3 linked regions of the Tribolium castaneum genome follow. Each later gene encodes a partner of the first gene's protein in a complex. Links are inferred from orthologs where the notes say so. Each region holds a gene or a part of one and is shown on either strand. Other genes may lie near its edges. The genes, in order: Gas8, dynein regulatory complex protein 8 and dynein regulatory complex subunit 3.

The links.
Region 2: Gas8 (region 1) and dynein regulatory complex protein 8 share a complex: the UniProt entries of both Homo sapiens proteins name them as parts of the nexin-dynein regulatory complex. The link is inferred for Tribolium castaneum from reciprocal best matches to the Homo sapiens genes DRC4 and DRC8.
Region 3: Gas8 (region 1) and dynein regulatory complex subunit 3 share a complex: the UniProt entries of both Homo sapiens proteins name them as parts of the nexin-dynein regulatory complex. The link is inferred for Tribolium castaneum from reciprocal best matches to the Homo sapiens genes DRC4 and DRC3.

Annotation. Positions count from the first base shown.
Region 1 is NC_087400.1:9,427,101-9,431,511, forward strand, and holds the start of Gas8 (dynein regulatory complex subunit 4), read left to right. Parts: upstream 1-1,521; 5' UTR 1,522-1,708; coding exon 1,709-1,711; intron 1,712-1,761; coding exon 1,762-1,991; intron 1,992-2,042; coding exon 2,043-2,304; intron 2,305-4,153; coding exon 4,154-4,272; intron 4,273-4,327; coding exon 4,328-4,411. UniProt on the Homo sapiens protein: Component of the nexin-dynein regulatory complex (N-DRC), a key regulator of ciliary/flagellar motility which maintains the alignment and integrity of the distal axoneme and regulates microtubule sliding in motile axonemes.
Region 2 is NC_087394.1:7,332,863-7,335,879, forward strand, and holds dynein regulatory complex protein 8, read left to right. Parts: upstream 1-1,569; 5' UTR 1,570-1,704; coding exon 1,705-1,735; intron 1,736-1,785; coding exon 1,786-2,023; intron 2,024-2,069; coding exon 2,070-2,280; intron 2,281-2,329; coding exon 2,330-2,464; 3' UTR 2,465-2,486; downstream 2,487-3,017. Other genes in the region: delta(3,5)-Delta(2,4)-dienoyl-CoA isomerase, mitochondrial, read right to left, coding at 2,520-2,618. UniProt on the Homo sapiens protein: Component of the nexin-dynein regulatory complex (N-DRC), a key regulator of ciliary/flagellar motility which maintains the alignment and integrity of the distal axoneme and regulates microtubule sliding in motile axonemes.
Region 3 is NC_087394.1:30,246,340-30,250,791, forward strand, and holds dynein regulatory complex subunit 3, read left to right. Parts: upstream 1-1,635; 5' UTR 1,636-2,010; coding exon 2,011-2,167; intron 2,168-2,218; coding exon 2,219-2,502; intron 2,503-2,549; coding exon 2,550-2,722; intron 2,723-2,771; coding exon 2,772-3,120; intron 3,121-3,167; coding exon 3,168-3,563; exon of another isoform or gene 3,564-3,609; coding exon 3,610-3,749; exon of another isoform or gene 3,750-3,795; coding exon 3,796-3,928; 3' UTR 3,929-4,020; downstream 4,021-4,452. Other genes in the region: TOM1-like protein 2, read right to left, coding at 1,157-1,220; enoyl-CoA delta isomerase 1, mitochondrial, read right to left, coding at 4,039-4,155. UniProt on the Homo sapiens protein: Component of the nexin-dynein regulatory complex (N-DRC) a key regulator of ciliary/flagellar motility which maintains the alignment and integrity of the distal axoneme and regulates microtubule sliding in motile axonemes.

The sequences.
Region 1 (4,411 bases):
TTATTTTACCGGTGGTCAGATCTTGGAATGTTAAATTATACATAAACCATTATTAATAGAAATATGGTGTTGCAGTTTTTTTGTAGAAAATTTAATTCTCTATAACTTTGTTCCTTACACATTTTTGGTATCTTTAACCGTTTTTACTACGTTCTCAAAAATATAAGGTGGAACGCAAGTTGATAATTCAAAGCAATAATTCTTTGCGCACCGGCGCATATTTATCAAAACACTGGGAATACGGAACTGAATTTTTTGTAAAAAAAGTACTTGACACCATATTTCTATCTTCTACAGTTTATACAGGGTGCATCAGAAATACGTGTCTTAATTTTAACAGGTAATAGAGCTCAACAAATAAAACATCTTTTCTATTTGTAATTTTTCAATAAAAAATTTGCAAATTTACTCAAAATTTGAAAAAAGATAACATACTGAAACGTGTACTCATCTATAAGTACAAAAATAAGTGAACTGAACTATTTTCGTTGTGATAGAAACGGACAATTTAAACAATTTAAAACAACAATGCAAATGGTTGCCATGAATGCAATAATTATTAAACACTGACCGACTCGTTTGCACAAAAGAAAGGAGGAAAACGAAGAAAATTATAAATAACAATTTTGCAAAATGTTATATAGAAATGTTGTTCTCTTTGATGAGTTTTATTACGTGTTAAAATTAACACACGAATTTTTGATACATCCTGTATACATAGTGGATAAAAGTGGGTTGTTTCTAAATTTCTATAAATATGCAACCAATAATAGCGATTCCTGCTGACCAGATGGGTAATTGTTAAAAAAATTAATTTAATCCAAGATTACATTGTTCTGGATAGTGTCAAGTTTGTCTTGACAGTTCATTATAGATTTTGTTATAGATTATTATTATTTAAATGATAAAAAACCAGTGTTAATTTAAATAATGTTTTAAAAATCAAATTCCAAGTCGTACGTGCAATTAGTATTTTTGGTTGCATTTTAGGACATGTTAGAAGTAACCCACTATTGACTCACCCTGTAATAATTAACTTTATACCTACACTTGGTTCAGCGTCTTCAAGGCATAAACCGATGACGTTAGAAATATGGTCTGGCGGTCTTCTTTACAGGAAATTTAATTCATTTGAAATTTTTTCCCAATTTTAAATCTTAAATAATTTTTTCTCATGTTTGTTATGAAAATTTTAGTCGTCAGTTTTTGTTAAGAGTGCAGAGCTTAACATTTCTGCATTTTTTCCAAGTAATGAGTGAGTTGGTTGGATTTAAATTAATTTAAAATCGCTTGAAGCGCCCTCATTTTTTCTCCGCTGTACTATTTTTTTAAGTTCAGAAATTTCTGCGATTTTCTGTCTCGTTTCGTCTCCAAACTAATAAATAGTCCTCCATAATTCACACTGTAGTATACTAGGTTATAAAAATAAAGTTTTGTGCATCCGATTTTAATAATTACTGGTTTAATAAGAAATAACAAATAAAAGATTAATTCTTCACAAGTTTTTTTGTCACTCCGACACATTTTCTAAATAGTCATTTAGATGCCAAATTTTCTGACAGAATATTTTTAGTGTCATTGACTCATTGGGCAGAATTCTCCCTTAAAATAAGTCCATTCCAAAGAAATCGATACGCGGGTAGTAACCATCTAAACAAATAGTTTCTTGAAGAACTGCTAGCTAGTTCATTCACTTTCACTTCGTAAAATGGTTCAGTATTTTAATAATTGTTTGAATTTTCGCTAATTAAAATTTTCCAGCCTCCCAAAAAGAAAGGTGGAAAAGGAAAAGGCGGTTCGGGAAATATCATCGATGGAGTGGACACAACTCAAATGACCCGAGAGCAGCTCGAGGTCTTCTGCCACCGAATAAAAGAGGAAAACGAACGAGAAAGAGAAGAACGAAATTTCTTTCAACTCGAAAGAGATAAATTACGGACGTTTTGGGAAATCACAAAAAATGAACTTGAAGAAGCTAAAGCAAAACTCAGGTGCAAAAATTAAAAATTTGTAAAAACAAACACTAGAATAAAAATTTGTAGAAACAAAGACCGACAGATTGAGGAAGCGGCTGAGAAAAACGAAGAAGAACTGAAATTTTACAAGCAAAAAGTCAAACATTTGCAATACGAACACCAAAACAACTTAACAGAATGTAAAGCTGAAGCGCTTGTTTCGCTGAAAATGTCACAAGATGACCACACTGAACAGGAAAGAGAATTGTTGCGAGATAAGCGAGATTTGAAAGCGCAAATGCGGGAACAAGAAGTCGCCCATCAAGATCAAGTCAAAGCTTTAAAACTGGTACCTATGATTATTTGAATTTAAATAGTTATTATTATTAATAATACGGCTGTCGTTATGCAACGAGCGTATGCGATACCCGAGTGTTTTCGTATGCCTGTTTTTTGTTAGAACATTTTAATTTAAAACACGTTGCTATGAAAAGTGTGTTTTAAAATAGCGAAAACCCGTTGCTATGGGAAACGTGTTTTAAAATAATGTTTATAATCTAGGATTCAGATATTAAAAAAAAGACTTAAAATAGTACCAAAAAAAAATAGTTATTAATGATAAGAGTCCAAAAACACAAGCCTAAAGTTTGAGAGCCCTCTTTATGCAACGAGCGTATGCGAGTTTCATACCTAGACACCCGAGAAGTTTAAGCGTTTTCGTATGAGTGTTATTCAATTTTTTTTTGTTGGAATATTTTAATTTAAAATACGTTGCTATTGGAAGCGTGTTTTAAAATAACGAAAACATGTTGCTATGGGAAACGTGTTTTAGAATAGTGTTTATGATTTAGGATTCTAATATCAAAAAGAAGGCTTAAAATGTTACCAACAAAAAATAGTTATTAATAATACGAGTGCAAAAACACAAGATCAAAGTTCGAAGGCTGTCGTTATGAAACGAGCATATGCGAGTTGCATACCTAAACACCCAAGAACTTTAAGCGTCTTCGTTTGAGTGTTATTTAAAAATTTTTGTTGGAACATTTTAATTTAAAACACGTTGCTATGAAAAGCGTGTTTTAAAATAACGAAAACACGTTGCTATGGGAAACGTGTTTTAAAATAATGATCATAATCTAGGATTCAGATATTAAAAAAATGCTTAAAATGTTATAAAAAAAATAGTTATTAATAATAAGAGTCCGAAAACACAAGCTTAAAGTTTGAGGGCTGTTTTTATGCAACGAGCGCATGCGAGACACCCGAGAAGTTTAAGCGTTTTCGTATGAGTGTTATTCAATTTTTTTTGTTGAAATATTTTAATTTAAAATACGTTGCTATGGGAAGCGTGTTTTAAAATAACGAAAACACGTTGCTATGGGAAACGTGTTTTAGAATAGTGTTTATAATTTAGGATTCAGATATTAAAAAGAAGGCTTAAAATGTTACTAACAAAAATAGTTATTAATAATAAGAGTAAAACACAAGCTTAAAGTTTGAGGGCGTATGCAAGTTACATACCTAGACACCTGAGAATATGTTAATTTAAAACACGTGGCTATAAAAAGCGTGTTTTAAAATAGCGAAAACCCGTTGCTATGGGAAACGTGTTTTAAAATAATGTTTATAATCTAGGATTCAGATATTAAAAAAAAGACTTAAAATAGTACCAAAAAAAAATAGTTATTAATGATAAGAGTCCAAAAACACAAGCCTAAAGTTTGAGAGCCCTCTTTATGCAACGAGCGTATGCGAGTTTCATACCTAGACACCCGAGAAGTTTAAGCGTTTTCGTATGAGTGTTATTCAATTTTTTTTTGTTGAAATATTTTAATTTAAAATACGTTGCTATGGGAAGCGTGTTTTAGAATAGTGTTTATGATTTATGATTCTGATATTAAAAAGAAGGCTTAAAATGTTACCAACAAAAAATAGTTATTAATAATACGAGTGCGAAAACACAAGCTTAAAGTTAGAGGGCTGTCATTATGCAACGAGCATATGCGAGTTGCATACCTAGACACCCGAGAACTTTAAGCGTTTTCGTATGAGTGTTATTCAATTTTTTTTTGTTGGAACATTTTATTTTTTAAAACACGTTGCTATGGGAAGCGTGCTTTAAAATAATGTTTATAATCTAGGATTGAGATATAAAAAAAGGCTTAAAATATTACCAATAAAAAAATAATTGTTTTTAGCAACATAGTGAAGAGATAAGCACCATCAGAAACCAATTCGAACTGAAAGAAAAAGAACTGGAAAATAAATACGAAAAAAAATTTGCTGACCTGAAACAAGAATTAAACATCAAACATACGTAATCAAGGAATAAATGTGCAAGTTTTTTACATTATTTACCATATTTGTTGTAGGATGGAAATGTCGGAGCTGGAAGAGCGCAAAAATAACCAAATTACTGATTTGACAAAACATCACGAGAAAGTGTTCAATGAAAT
Region 2 (3,017 bases), on another chromosome or scaffold:
AGATCTGCAAACGGGTTATTTAGAAAAGAATCAGAGAAAAGAACAGAAACAATGCTAAAGAATAATTTAAAAATTATAAAGGGAACTACAGAGGAATTTAATAGCGCATCCAAAGATGGATTTACTAAAATAATGTAAAGAGGAATCCAGATTTCAGATCTACAAACGGTTTCAAAAAAGAACTCGAGTAGGATCTCAAGAAAAATCTAGAGAAGAGTACAAAAACAATGCTAAAGAATAAAAATATATTGCGAGAGAAAAATTCTATACATAACTGTAGGACAATTTTGAAAAGATGCAGAGTGCAATCTAGGAGAGGTTTTGGATAAAAAAAATTAAAAGAGTTTATAAAATAATTTTGAGTAGTATAGAAAATAATTTCTAAAGAAGTATATGGAGATGGATTTATAAAATAATTTAAAAAGTTCCAATTTTAGGTTTAGAAACGATTTTTTAAAATATTTGAGACTTATTTTAAAAACAATCTAAAAAAGAGTAGACAAACAAATAATGCCAAAAAATAATTTAGAAAAATTCGAAACGAAAGTACAAAGGAATTTTCAAACAAAGCAGACCTAATAATTGTCTTAAAAAACGTGAAAAATTCGTGAATTTATACAATAATCGAAAGAAGAATCTATATTTCAGATCTAGAATTAGGCTTATTTAGGAAAAAAAGAAAAGAAAAGAATTAGAAAAGTATATGAAAAAAAAATCCAGAGAAGACTACAGAATTAATAAAAATTATTTGGAAAAATTGTAAAGGAAACTACAGAAGAATTTATAACCGAATCTAAAGATGTAACCTAAAGAAGATTATAACCTAATAAGATTATTTCAAGAGAAAAATTCTATACGAAACTGTAGAAGAATTTTGGAAAGATACAGAGTAGAATCTAGAAGAAAATTTGGATAAAAATATTTGAAAAAAAGTGTATAAAATAATTTTGATTAGAGTCTAGAAAATAATTCTAAAGACGTATCTACAGATACCTAGAGTCTCCTCTACAAAAAAATTTAGAAGAATATTATGAACAATGTAAAAAAAAGTACATAAATAAAATAATAATACAGACTAAAAAATAATTTGGAAGAATTTTAAACGACGCAGACAAGAATCTTAAATTTGGATAATGTCAAAAAAATGTAAAAGTGTTAATAAAACAATTTTGGATTTGAAAGAAGAATCTAGAGAAGATGGATTTATAAAATAATCTAAAGAAGAGTACAGAAAGCTAAAGAATAATCTGGAAGAAATTTAAACGAAACTAAAGGAAAATCTTGAAAAACTGCAAAGTAGAATCTACTACAGAGTGACTATTAAAGACTGTGACAAAAAAACCTATTAGTAACACTGAATTATTGGCCTTCATGGTGGCTTGTTATATTAAGATTTCAAATTTGTCACCAACCTGACAAGAATCGCAATTTTTGAATAATCACCTGGTAAAGAGAATTTGAATAATATTTGTGTATTTATTTTATTTACACTGTTTTTTGTCATTCGTAATTTGTGCAACATAAATATGGCATTTTTACTTTTTAATGTTATTTTTAATTAAGAGTAATTATTATTATTGGTGATTTTTACCAAAAAAATATGCAAGTGGTACAACTGCCAACACTTCAAATCACCTAGCAACCAAAACTGTCGCTAGGAGACCGTCAACTGTTTAAACCTTAACGATTATCAAAATTGTTAAAATGTTGGAAGACGAAGAAGAAGAAATTCATGGTTTTTGTCAAAAACTCGTCTTTTTCCAAAAAACCAACACGTTTTTTTAGTGCCTATTAATAATGACTTGGAGCGCAGAATTGCCGACGCGTTTGAAGTTTTCGACCACGCAGGTAACAAAACAGTCGATGTTCGAGAAGTGGCAACGATCGTACGTGCCTTGGGTTGTTGCCCCACTGAGGCAGAAATTCAGGAAATTTTGATGGCTGTTGAAAACCCCGAATCTCCCGGAAGTGTACACTTGTCTAATTTTTTACCCCACATGTCGCAAATCATCACTGAACACAAGTATCACCAAAATTTAATCGCCAAAAAACGAAATTTTCATTCGCAGGTATCAGCCTGCAAGTCCCGCGCAACTTTTAGAAGCGTTCCAAGTGCTAGATAATGAAGGTAAAGGTTTTTTAACAAAGGAACGCATTTCCACGCTTATGACGCAAGATGGTGAGCCCTTTACCCAAGACGAACTCGACGAAATGCTGGAAATAGCCATAGACCCACACACTCAAACTGTGCCTTATGAATATTACATCAATCAGCTAATGGTACCTAATTTTTATTTTTGCAAATATTGCACTACGTTATTTTTAATAGCACGAACCTGAAGGAGAGAAAGATATCTATAAGTTAGCTGATCGTGTTCTTGAGGAAAATCCACCTCCACCTCCTCCTCCTCCACCTCGAAGGCTGTCCGAGTTCCTGCATGATTTGTCCGTTCCTGAATTTTAAATTATAAAACACTCCAAACTTCCACCTTGTTTATTATTTAATCTTCTTGCTTAATTTACAATTTTGCGAAAACTGTATCTTTCTGTTTGGTAGCTTGGGCTACTGTTGCTGTTGTGAAGTCTTCACTTTGAAGCATTAGCTGATTCCATAAGGCCTGTAAGTAATGTGTTATTAATTTATTATTTTTTGCAGCTGGATTAAGAAACAAGCACTAATGGGGGCGCCATTGAAAAATAAGCTTAATTTATCTTCTTGTTATTTAATTAAGGCAAGTTTCCTTTTATTAGGTGGTTTCAGTGAACATTAATAAAGAATAAAGAAATATTTCTGTGTTGTTACTGATAAATAGTTACTCCTTCTGTTCGAAAATACGGTAGGTATAACTTTTAAAGGCCGGTAAGTAATTACCAGTGTGAGGAAATTTTAGGGGGTGGCCATGAGGCCACAACCGATCAGCCGACTCGTCGTAGCGCTCTCGCGATGTTCATATTTATCGATGAAATGGTCCGCTACAGCGTGTGCATTGGCGTAGTTTACTTGGGGTTTATACAAT
Region 3 (4,452 bases), on another chromosome or scaffold:
AAAATGGCAATGGAGTTTTTTTCCTCCAAATATACAAAATTGTGAAAATCCACCTACAAACCGACTCATAACTGTAATACATGTAACACATGCCTCGCCCATACAGTTGCATGCTATTGCAACATTTTACGTACAAATTAACTTTACTATTAATTTTGTAGTACAATTTAATTTACCAAATGACTAGGTTCACATCCATTTTAATAATTAAATCTAATCACTTAAATAAATGTGGTGCACGCTGCAGTAATCACAATTAATTATAATAATTGTAAAGAAAAGTTTTGGAGAGGACGTTGTTTTTTGTTAGCCAAACATTTTAAAATTTTATCTGAAAAAAATATGTCTGGTTCATTACTTAAATATTTACCAATGTCTCACAACACATTGTTGAATGATTGTTTATGGACTTATTATTACTATGTTATTGGTCATTTTCGAAAATTCTTGTTGCTCTATTTTACACTTGAATTATTCATGTAAATAGGCGATAGAAAAGAATTTATATTGTTATTTTTATTCTAAGGTGATTAAGAACGCGCAAAAATAGTTCCAATTAATTAACTGATCTGAATTAGCATAAATACATATGTATATTTATTTTAAAGCAACGATGAAAAATATTTCAACTACGTTTTGCCCATAAAATTATCAAAGAATGTGGGTACTACAGCGGTATTATTCCTAACTGTTGTGACATACATAAGAGATTATTGTACCGATAACGCAAAGTATTTTTTTAATAATAGGTTTAAATAGACAAATTTCCATAGGACCCCGTGAAGAAAGCATAAAACGTCTCAGTTGATAGCCTATGTAGAGTAGTATAAGTCACACCTATTGGTAAATAATTATAAACAAATTTGGTACGAAATAAAAACCACGCTGTAGTTGTGACAAACAAAATGTAAATGCAAAAACCTACACCTACACAGACAGCGATGACGAAGTACCTTAGAATTATTACCAGAAACAGTAATTAAACAGTCTGATGAATAGATATAGGTGAATCAGCCAACAAAAGTGATAAACAATGTAATCTAAACAATAAAATACAGTGCCAGCACCGGTTTCTAGTTCTATTTACGTTTTATTAAATCGATTTTAACAACGGAAAAAAATTAAATGAAATCCGGCAATGCCAAGCGGGACTCACCAATTCGCGATCCTACGGGCGTCGAAAAGGGATTTCCTCCTAATGCAGTTCCAAAAAAAGACATTTTTTATTTCTAAATTAAATTTCACGATTGCACTTTCTTGTTGTCACTTGACTTCTGTCACTGTCACTTGTCAAAACAAGAAAACACTGCGGCGCTTGCGCAATACTTCCGCTCCTAAATCTAAAATTTTCCGACGAAAATAACAATTTTATTTCAAACAAATAAACTGCATGACGCGCTTGTTGGTGTGTTAGTCACTGTTTTTCTAATTTATTGATCTTTTCATTCCCAAGTTGTGTAAACTTCTGAATAAAAAGACGTCAGACATGTGTCACGTGATCAAAAATTATACGAGGTGCGGTTCACAATTTAAAGTTCTTTTTTTATGTTATTTTTCCGTTCTTTCACGTAATATACTACCAAAGCGAGCATTTCTGCATTTATAACTGTGCTGTTGTCATTTCTTCTTTGATACAGAATACAACGTAATTTTACAATTTTGAGTATTTTTTTATAAGTTGCGGTATCAGCACTCGGCTTCGCCTCGACTACAATTTCGCAAACTCTTAATTGTAAAGATTTTTTTACTCCAAAAACCCTCTCTGGGCTATTTTTATCTACTTAGACGTTATAATCTACCTGTAAAGAGTTTTTTGTAATTGATATAATTTCACAATGAAAAATAATAAAACTCAAGAGCACAAGCTCGGCAAACTCAAAGATTCATGATTTCTCAAGTCCATAGCAACAATAAGGTACTTAAACAACAGTCATTGTGACATCAATAATTTCAAGAATGCTTGAAAAGGTATTTGTATCGATTTAGTGTGCCTAATGAAAATTTGTAAAAATGAATCCTTGTAAATTGAAAGAGCCAAAAGTAATAGACAATGCCCTTCTGGAGAAATGTATCAAAGACCAGGGCCCCAAGGGTGAAGCGGGTCGCTTGGCGGAGATCGAAAAAATCCCCCTTGAAGACGTCACCGAGATTCGCTTAGAATTTCTGAGTAACAATTCTTGTAAAATTTAAACCCGACTTTCTGTGTCCCTATCCGTAGATATCTTAAGAATTGACCACTTGTGGGTGCTGACATCTTTAACGAAATTAAATCTCAACAATAATTTACTGGAAAAAATCGAAAATTTGGAAAGTCTGGTGAACTTAACTGAACTAAATTTATCATTCAATAAAATAGCTAAAATCGAAAATTTAGACGAGCTTCGCAACCTTGAAAAGCTGAGTCTGTATGATAACGAAATCACGGTTTTGGAGAACATGGACACTTTAACAAAATTAACAGTTTTTAGCATTGGAAGAAACAAAATTGACGACTTGGACAATGTATTACGAAAAATAATTGTGTTCTAGAATACACAAATATTTTATAGATTCTGTATTTGCGACGATTCGGCAATTTAAAATCGTTAAATCTAGTGGGGAATCCCTGTGCCGAGGATGAAGATTTTCGTTTATTTATTGCAGTTTTTCTGCCACAACTCGTTTACTACGAATATAAATTAATATACGAGTCGGAACGGGAACTTGGACACGAAACTTTCAGGTTTCTAGCTAAAATTGTTTAAGTGAACATCAGTAGGAGAGTTTTTTAGTGCAAAACTGCGAGCATTGTTGGAGAAAGAGGAGAAGGAACGGGAAATCACTGCGATAAAGGAACAAGAGTTGGCCGATGCCGAACTTCACGCCTCTAGTTTCGTGGAGTATTTAAACACTCGCCATTTGTTCGACTCTTTATTTGCCAACGACACCGACGGCATGAACTTGATGAAAATCGGCGAAGACGCGCAAGAATTCTACGACGAGTACGAGGAGAACTTCATCGAACTGTGTAAACAAATATTCGAAAATGGGCAACAACAGTACATCCTGCGCAAAACCGAACAGGACCAGTTCTTAAAATGCGTCGAAGACGCAAATAAGGACAATCAAGACGAAAGCATTGTACGCCCCCTTTCGAATTTACTTATAGCCCCAAATTTCGTCCGTAGAAACACATGGAGATCTTCCTGGAGAAGAAGGCAATACTGTTCCTCAAAATCAAAAACGTGCAAAACCAGCTGAACTCAAACGAAATAAATTACGACGAGTTTATCGACAAATGCGACGTCTTCGTGGTGGAGTACGACGAGATGTTGCACGAAGTTTGGAAAGCGCTAATGAAACTGGAACTGGAACTTTACGAACAAATGGAAGAAGTCAACCAAACTTTCGAACACAACATCACAGAACTCGTTAATAATTTCATTGAATCGTCGCAGGCTTTCTTTACGCAGATCAGAGAGCTGGAAGTGAGCTACGCTGAAAATATCGGCGATTTGGCCACAAAGTTTCAAACAAATGCCAATTTGAATGAGGAAATCGAAGTTCCCGCAGTTCTTAAACCGGTAACTTCCGGCACTTGCTTTATTAATAATTTCAATGAGATTACAGCTTATGGCAGATAAGGATCTTCTGCACAACGCGTTGGCAACAAGTCACGATATGCACATGCAGATTATCGATGCGAGAGAAGACACTCTCATTTCGAACGCCAAGGATTGGCTAAATGATTTAATCGACGATTTAAACACGTAAGTTATGCCTTTACTTTTCCCGAAAAATATCCACAACTTGTAGGAATGAGATCAAGCGAAACAGGGGGAAAGTGCTGGAAATTAACCACTTTCTTGAAATCCAAAGGCAGGAGTTTGAGGATTTGAATAAGGAATACGCGCCTGATCTCAAGGATGACGTTATAGCCTTGGAATAAGTAAGATAGTAAAATATACTTTATTTTTACAAAAGTACTTACACATATTCTTGGTTTGGATAATAAATTTTACACTTCATTATATAAAAGAATATCAACTTATAATATCCTTATTTCTGTTTCTGCTTCAATGATTGCAGATACATTTCCAACCCCTTTTGCACACTGTCCTGAGCTACGTAATTCGCCACATATTCGTAATCTTTTTGGAGATTGTTAGTGAGGTCCTGAAATAAAAACTCATTTTTACAAAATATATAATTGAGCCTTAAATACAAAAATGCCAAAAAAGTCTATAAAAAAATCATAATACTAATTGCATCACATAATATGTTGAGATAAAAATATGTTTCCTTGGTGAGTTTCCTTAATAAAACATTTCGTTATATTTCCTTGCATTTTTAATAATGATTTTACCTACCTAGTTTTTGAAACTTAAAAAAAATACGGATAAATGCCAACTGATTAATTTCTGCAGAAAGATAGTACCCTCAACTTCTAGTATAAACTTAATTCGAAAGTAT